Linked DNA regions of Arabidopsis thaliana. The protein of the gene in region 1 interacts with the protein of each later gene in a pairwise test. Each region holds a gene or a part of one and is shown in the gene's direction. Other genes may lie near its edges. The genes, in order: AT5G47060 and PFA-DSP3.

The links.
Region 2: the proteins of AT5G47060 (region 1) and PFA-DSP3 interact in a two-hybrid assay, tested with the Arabidopsis thaliana proteins (one study listed by BioGRID).

Annotation. Positions count from the first base shown.
Region 1 is NC_003076.8:19,115,046-19,119,411, forward strand, and holds AT5G47060 (hypothetical protein (DUF581)), read left to right. Parts: upstream 1-1,739; 5' UTR 1,740-1,797; coding exon 1,798-2,150; intron 2,151-2,413; coding exon 2,414-2,594; 3' UTR 2,595-3,172; intron 3,173-3,419; downstream 3,420-4,366. Other genes in the region: AT5G47070 (Protein kinase superfamily protein), read right to left, coding at 3,638-4,108, 4,215-4,337. UniProt on the Arabidopsis thaliana protein: May act as an adapter to facilitate the interaction of SnRK1 complex with effector proteins, conferring tissue- and stimulus-type specific differences in the SnRK1 regulation pathway.
Region 2 is NC_003074.8:605,493-609,934, reverse strand, and holds PFA-DSP3 (Tyrosine phosphatase family protein), read left to right. Parts: upstream 1-2,027; 5' UTR 2,028-2,230; coding exon 2,231-2,382; intron 2,383-2,479; coding exon 2,480-2,573; intron 2,574-2,659; coding exon 2,660-2,717; intron 2,718-2,802; coding exon 2,803-2,846; intron 2,847-3,033; coding exon 3,034-3,297; 3' UTR 3,298-3,650; downstream 3,651-4,442. Other genes in the region: AT3G02810 (Protein kinase superfamily protein), read left to right, coding at 1-289, 382-1,206. UniProt on the Arabidopsis thaliana protein: Cleaves the beta-phosphate at the 5-position of soluble inositol pyrophosphates. Has highest activity on 5-diphosphoinositol 1,2,3,4,6-pentakisphosphate (5-InsP(7)), 1,5-bis-diphosphoinositol 2,3,4,6-tetrakisphosphate (1,5-InsP(8)) and 3,5-InsP(8).

The DNA of each region.
Region 1 (4,366 bases):
AATTATTTCTGGAAAAAAATCAATAATTAAAATGGCAGTCATTGTAAATAAGTCTAAACTTCATAATTTATTTAACAAAATAGCTGCATTATATAGACAATAAAATGACTTTTTTTTTCCTTTGTTTCTCATATATTGATAGATCACATAATTTATTGAATTAATATATACAAACAAGAGTTCCACTAATTCTTATTTGTTATTTCGATTCCACTATTCAACAAGGTCCACACTATTATTAGAAATTCAAACTATACTTACCATAAATATCGAAATCACAACTAGTCAGTCACACACCTATTCTAACATTAGAAAAACACCGACCTCATTGCACCACTATTATTTGTAGTTGTACCTCACAAAGCACCTCCCTCAAAGTCTTCGCAAAAACGTCACCCACCACCACGAAAATTCATAACCAAATAAAACGACAATTTTGTAATTCTTGATTTAATAAAAAAATTAAGTAAAAAACAATATTCTTACCATTTTGTCGCCATATAATAAGAAGAAGAGAGACACAACACAACACAAGTAGTAGAAGTGGTGTAGTGATTACGGTGTAACGCTTATTCCAAAAACCCCACGCGCGTAGGGCCCACCTCTCCCCCGAATCCCCATGATTTTCTTTAACGTCTCTCGAGTGCTGGTGGGACCCTTGTTTTATGGAACCCTGATGTAGTTTTATGTACTTTCATTTGTGACCCTTATACTTCTGTTAATTACAATCTTGCCGCTATTTTGTTGCTTCCTTCTTGTTTTTGTTACCTTAAAACTTTTGTTTGAATGCCTTCAGAAAAAGTTTACTTCTCTTTAGACGGATGTGATCACTTGTTCAATGTAACACCACCGTAAGTTACAGTGGTTAAAATGTCTGGTAGAATTATAGCTGTATATATTTATTGATCTCTAAAAAATTAGCTTGTAGAAATTATTGTCTTTAAATTGTTAGTAGGATCCATCCAACTACTACTTAAAAAAATCTGATTAGTATAAGATATATTTATGATTAATAGAAAAATAATTTTTGTACAAGAGATTAATAACTAAGATAGTAAAATTCTATCATTTCATTTCTAAAACCAAAATAGATGAAATTAATAAATAAATAATTATTGATTTCATGTGTGTTTAAACAATTTTTTTTTGTATCACATTATGTAAAGTAACAAGTTATCAATTTCATAAAAAAATATTTACGATAATTACATTGTTTTCTTAATTTTTTTGTCGACTATATATCTTAAAAATAATGTTAAAAATGCAACAATTTTGACAGTAATTCCTAATCATACGAAAATTTTCAAACTTTGCAACTTCTTCATGTATTATTGCATTGACAATCAGTTAATAATTTTACTTTAATAATGTTGTCTAAGTAAAAAAGAAAATTAAAAGTTAATAATTGAACTAAAAAGTGAATGTCGAAAAAAAACATTTAACTTTTTTACTTAGCTCTCTCGAAAGTTCCTCAAAAACCGAAGGACGAGTAAGTCACGAAAAAGACCATTTTGTAACGCCTCTCTATCAATTATTCCTCTATGTGTCAATAAAGTATATTTCTCAAAAGGAAAACAACAAAAATGGTTTTCGATTTCTTGTACTTTCAAAAATAGCATAAAAGCCAATAGATTCTCCTCTCTCAAAGTTTCGCCCCTTGTTTTTACTTTCTCTCTCTTAAACCCCAAAAAAAAAAAAAAGATCTTTTGCTATAAAATCCCACTTCACACTTTCTTCACATCAACAACAAAACCTCTCTCTCTTTCACTTTCTCTCTAAAAACCAGAAAAAAAAAAAATGGAGCTTTCATCGAGAAAGCCTTATTTCATTGAGGAAGAAGAAGAAGAGAATTTGGCTTCTTCTTTATCAGAAATGGAAGCTGGGTTTTCTGGTAACAATAATAATAGTAATAACCATGGAAATCCCCAAAACGGTGTCGTTTCTTCAAGCCGTTTCTCTTACGGTAGATTAAACAGTCTTAGGAACAGTCAGAGTTATTATTACAATCAATACTCTGTTTCGTCTCCGAGATCTGTTGTGTCTGGAAGATTTCATGATTTCAGATTCGATATTCAACAACCTCATTTCTTGGACTCGTGTTTCCTCTGTAAGAAACCTCTTGGTGATAACAGAGACATCTACATGTACAGGTAACATCTAAGATCTATAACATCAGATCTGTTTTTTTTTTGTTTTCTATCAATTTCTCTCATTTTTAGTCGAAATTATTACGAAAGGATTGATTTTTTTCGAATACCCATTTCTTCAATCTTCTGATTAATCAATTAAACGATTCATGGGTCTGATTTCAAATTCCTCTGTTTTTGGTACAAATTCTAGAACAGAACATATTTTTAATTTTGTTGTTTCATGGGTCTGATTTGAAGTTTTTGATTTTGTGAATTTTTTGCAGAGGAGATACACCGTTTTGCAGTGAAGAGTGTAGACAAGAACAGATAGAGAGAGATGAAGCAAAAGAGAAGAAACAGAATCTGTCTCATTCGGTGAAATCAGCTATGCGGAGGAAAGAACAATCTTCACCAACTAGATCTCGTGATTATGCTTTTCACAATGGAACTGTTGCTGCTGCTTAATTAAAAATATCTGGGAACTTTGAGAATTATTATAATTAATTAGGTTAAGAAAAAAATAAGCTATATTGTATCTAACGCTATGAAGCTGGTTTTGGATCCTCTCTCTTTCTCTCGAGATCTTAAGGATCTTTTAAAACTTTAGCTTCAAGTCTTGGGAAAAAGATGAAGAAGCTAAAGATCCTTTAATTTTCTTTTCTTTTTTTGTAAGAAAAAAATAGTTTCTTGACATGAAATTTTGGGAGTATGAGAAGAGAAAATGTAAATGCCTATGTGAATTATAATAGTCCATGGCATGTTTGAGTTATATTTTTTCTTTTGTTTTTAGATTTCGGTATCAATGTCTTTCGAGGGATATACAGATGTTAAATCAAATTTTAATATGTTGAAATATGAGAATATTATACGAGAAAACAAGAGTAAGCATTTTTTTTTAACTTGCTATATAGTTTTTTTTTTGGTAAGTACTTGCTATATAGTTTAAATGACGTATTTGTGATTTGATATAAGATTGAGCAATAGTTTGAAATTGATTCTTTTTGTGGTAAGATTTGGTGACTTGCGAAAAGTGGGAAATAAAGGTATAAAATATCTTTTTCCTTCAAATGCTTTTGATAGTACAGTTTTCTTTTTCTTCACGAAATCGGTAGTACAATATTTTCTGAAACAAATAATTAGATATCTTTTTTGATTATCAGTGGACCAGAAACTCAAATAAATTGAAGTATAAATATATATATATATATATTAAAATAAGATTTGTAGAATGTAATAATGCTTAAAACGTATAAAGTTTTCATGATAAATTCCAAACAACAACATTGCATTTGCATTCGTACATAGAAAACTTTGGCTAAAACGTTACGCTATCAACATCAAAACACTCTCATAAAACTTGATCTCAATGATTCTCATTCACCGTATTGAATTTTATTTACAAAACACACAATAAGATACATTTTCTCTACTAATCTCACAATAAACCAACAAATTGCATAAACTTATTTATAATATATAAACTTGCAAAAAAACTTCTAAACTCAAAATCATCCTCTGACACTAACCCCTCTCAAACTTTGTTTCTCAGGTTTTGCAACTTGTCTCCTCCTTACCTGACTACTTTCCTTGGTCGTAGTCGTAGCCATCGGATAATCTTCACTATCCGATTCTTCGATAATCTTTTTCAATCTTTCCACTACAATTTCCATCGTAGGTCGCTCTTTATCGTTCTTTTTCAGGCAAAGATCAGCCAATTTAGCCAAACTCCTAGCTCCAGCAGCTGGATAATTGTTGCGTAACCGAGGGTCAACGATCATGCTGAAACGTTGACTATCAGCAGGATACTCTTTGACCCAATCCAATAGCCTTCGTTCAGCCACTGGCTTGTTCCTCTCAATGGTTCTGCGTCCGGTTATGATCTCGTAGAGCACAACACCGAAGCTATAGACGTCGCTCTTTAACCGAAGATGACCTGTTTGCACGTATTCCGGAGCCGCATAGCCGTGTGTTCCAACTCTCTATACATAGAAAGAAGAAGAACTGTTAAAACTTTGTAACAGATTCATCACTTTAAAGTACGAGTGAGCTTATAAAATGCACATTTATATATCAAACCAAACTTACTGCGGTAGTGACATGAGTATTGTCGCCATCAGGTCCTTCTCTGGCAAGCCCAAAGTCCGATAATTTTGGACAGAATTGATCGTCTAAAAGCACATTAGAGGATTTGAAATCTCTATATATCACCTGTCAACCAAATAAATAGGAAATTATCT
Region 2 (4,442 bases), on another chromosome or scaffold:
ATACAGAGATTTGAAAGCTTCAAACATTTTGTTAGATGATGACTTTTCTCCTAAGCTTTCTGATTTTGGTCTACATAAGCTAGGACCCGGGACAGGTGATAAGATGATGGCTTTATCTTCACGAGTAATGGGAACTTATGGTTACTCTGCACCTGAGTATACACGAGGCGGAAATCTCACTTTGAAATCAGATGTCTATAGCTTTGGTGTTGTGTTGCTTGAGCTTATCACGGGTCGAAGAGCTCTTGATACTACTAGGCCTAATGATGAACAGAACTTAGTTTCTTGGGTAATAAATAACAAACCCTAATATTATTGCACTTTTTCAACCAAGTTAAAACAAGAAGTTTTTATCTTGCTGAACAATTCATGTTATCGCAGGCACAACCGATATTTAGAGATCCGAAGAGGTATCCCGATATGGCAGATCCAGTTTTGGAGAATAAATTCTCAGAGAGAGGATTAAACCAAGCAGTGGCAATAGCTTCAATGTGTGTGCAAGAGGAAGCATCAGCTCGTCCTCTTATAAGCGATGTAATGGTTGCGCTTAGCTTCCTTTCGATGCCTACAGAAGATGGTATTCCCACAACAGTTCCTATCTTATCCTTCAAAGACAAGAGCATGTCTATAGCCTTAAGCCGACATGATTCAAATCTTGTATCTCCTCCTCCTGAGCTAGCTACGGAAGATGACAAATCTAGTACCTCATCAGGCGAAGAATCATCTTTGGAGAGCGAAAAGGAGAGTGTGAGTAAGAATGAGTATAAGAAGAAACATGAAGAGGAAGATAGCTCAATGGAATCTGATGATGAGTCTGATTCTAACTCTGAACATGAAAAGGACCAACCACCAAAGCCTATTGATGAGAAGAACCAGGCGCAAAGCTTGAAGATAAAGTATAGATATAGCTGGGAAGATATTGATGTCAATGATGAGAGGCTAAGCAGTAAAAGCAGCCAAAAATCAAACGACGAAAGTACTTCTTCGCGTTATGATAGCGACAGAGATCAAGACGAGAAAGGGAAAGAAGAAGAGGAAGAGGAAGAGGCAGAAGAAAAGCATACTCATATTGAACACATTGATAGCTCAAAAACTGATGATGATCAAAGTGTTTACTTTGATAATGATGATGATTCAGGAGATGACAATGGAGGCTCTTTGCATCGGATAAAATCAGATGTTGCGATCGATTCTATTAAAGAGTGACATTTTTCAAGATTTTTTATCAATCCGTTGAAGCTCACAAGAAGTATTTGAAACTTTTTTGGGTTTATTTTTGGGAAAAATTCTTAATTGGGTATTAAAATAAGATACATATTGACGGTTTTTCTTAACAAATTATAACCATCTCTCTTTATACATGATGAAGATGTTTTGGATTGATAGATTAATAAAGAAACAAGTTGTATAATCAGATAATCTGATTGAGAAAACTTATCTCAGCTTTTGTAATCCTTTAAAAAAAAATGTTACGTACTTGTGTTTTTCTTTAAATAGTAGATGAAATAATAATAGTTTAGCATTTTAAAGAAAAACAAGTATGAGATAATCAAACCCTAGATAAGAATCTTAATAATCAATCTTAGCTGTGACTCATATAGCCTATGAGCAAATATTACATTATTCATAGGAAATGGAAAGTATTAGATTCTCAATTTGGATATACTAAAGTAGATACTTAAACTGATAGATAAAAGACATATCTACTTCTTATCCTATTTTTGCAATTAAGGATAGTCTTTGTGTTTTCCATCTTTTTGTCAACGACACTTGTCAAAAGTTTCAGTCTGTGGAATCAAAATTTTTAAATGAGACCACTTAGTTTTACTTTTCTTTCATGATTCGACCACTATACTTTCTAAGAATATTTATTTTAATCAAAATTAGATAATGTTTACAGGATTGACCCAAATTAGATTCGTAAAGAATCGTCAGCTATGAGGTCAAATAAAAGCAGAGAAAACGACACGTGTCAGGATCTTGGAGATTCCTGAAGTGAGGTCCACCCTAAAATCCATTTAAGGTTTTCTAAGCAAATCAACAAAGGAAGGAAGGATCCTACCAAAAGCTCCCAAAATCTGAGTACGCTTTTCAAAGTTGTCTCCTTTATGAACCCCACTTGATCCCTTCTCCTCCTATAAAAACATCTTCTTCTCAGATCAATCCCATCAAATCTCGGGTCTTGCTCTGTTTCTCTCTTTTTGATTCTTTTAGAGGTTTACTGAATTCGATGTGTTTGATTATGGAAACGGATGATCACAACGGTGATGTTTTAGCGCCGCCGTCGAATTTCTCGATGGTTGAAGATGGAATTTATCGATCTGGGTTTCCTCGACCTGAGAATTTCAGTTTCCTTAAAACCCTAAATCTTCGTTCCATCATGTAAGATCCTTTATTAATCTTCTGGGTTATTCAATTATACTGTTTGATAATTGATTATGATTGGAGTAATTAATCGTTTTTTTATTCATCAAAACAGTTATCTGTGTCCTGAACCATACCCAGAGGAGAATCTCAAGTTTCTTGAGGCTAACAACATTAAGCTTTACCAATTTGGAATCGAAGGCAAAACGGTGCGTTTTGCTTCTTTCTTGTTGCTTGTTGTCAAAGAAATGCAATTGTCCTTGATGTCTTATCTCGGATCTTTTACGATATGCAGGATCCTCCAACTCCTATGCCAAAAGATACAGTTTTGGATGCTCTCAAAGTTTTAGTTGGTAAGGAATCAACACTCAATAATGTTTTTTGGTCTCTTCTTAGCTAGTTCATGAGTCTTAAAGTAGATCTTTTGTTTCTCTGTAGATGTGAGAAACCATCCAATTCTCATACATTGCAAACGCGGGAAGGTAATTTACAGTTTCTTCTTCCTCTTCTAGGAACTTAGCCTATGTTATTATTTATTACAGGACACTCATGGTGGTCTTGGCTTGTCTTATTTAGTTATGCACAGTACACAATCTTTTTGTGGTCCTTTAGGAAATAGGCAGTTATTTACAGGACACTCATGATTTGGTGTTTTTGGTGAACTTGCAGCATAGGACAGGTTGTCTAGTGGGATGCTTAAGAAAAGTTCAGAGCTGGTGTTTATCATCGGTGCTCGAGGAGTACCAGAAGAACGCGGGTTTAAAATGGAGACAAAGGGACTTGAATTTTATAGAGGCATTTGATATAGTGAGCTTGAGACAGTGTCTCTTGAGCATCATGTATCAGTATCACGGTTATGGCTTCAAGAGGAGAAGGTTGGCATATGAAGAAGAGAATGTCAAGACACCAAAACCGCAGGCTGCTAGAGTTTAAAAAGAGAGCAACCAAGTGGCATATGTTCCGTGTTCTGATTTGAGTTTAATCGGTGCCTGGATTATTCTTTAAGTGGGATAAGTTTTAGTTTACCCCAAAAGCCGTAACCAGAAGTTTTATTGTGTTTTTTAGAAATAGAAATGTATAGAAAGTTTATTCTTCATTACAATCTGATGCAGGGGAGGTCATTTTTAACTCAATGACTCATTCATGCTTATGTTGCTTTATTTTATTTTATTGGTCAAACTCCTAAAGTTAGCTTAATCTTGTTGTTTAAACTTCAAAGTCTCTTTGGAATAACCATTAGCAATAATATAAGTGGTACAGCAATAATACCATGTTTTAAATTCTTGTAAAGAGTTCTTCGATAATCTAATCATTTATAAAGAGTTCTTAAATAATCAAACCAGTAGAAATTAGATCAAAATTAGCAAGAACTTGCAGTACAATTTTCAAATCAAAAGAAAAAAAAAACTGATTTATGTCCAGAAAACCTCTCTAGCCAATCAAACTGAATTTTAAAAGATAACATTCGGTAGTATACTTTCGGTATGAAATCAATTATTAAAACAGAGAAAACAGAGGAGGTTAAGAGTATCGAGTCAGCTTCTAATATATACCATGTGCACTGCAGTACAAGGTATATGACTAATCTAGCACATGTGTTAGGAAAAATATGTTTTCAAAGATAATTAAAGAAATACAAGTTGATTAGCAGCATTCTTTTACTAAAACAGCCATATTATATTCATCTATTATATATTTAGCTTTTTGATTTCCATTCTCAGAATGAAAAAGTGTGCAGCTATAATTGACATTGTCTATGTAACTATGTAACACATAATTGACAAAGAATAAGCAAAACCGGGAAAATTCTATCGTAATTTTTCTGACCAGAACTAAACCGAGAAAAATCCATAACCGAACCAAATCTTACCTAAGAATCATCATTCATCACCCACGTATCGGATAAAAACTCACCTCCTACCTAGAAATCATCACCCAAGTATCGGATAAAAACTCAAGATCAAGAACGCAAATCAGATTGACAATTACGCAATCTTCTAGTTATAGCTAAGAAAATTCCATGTCATTTTCAGAAAACAAGATGTCCGTGCATACGTACTTTGCAAATCATCCGGACC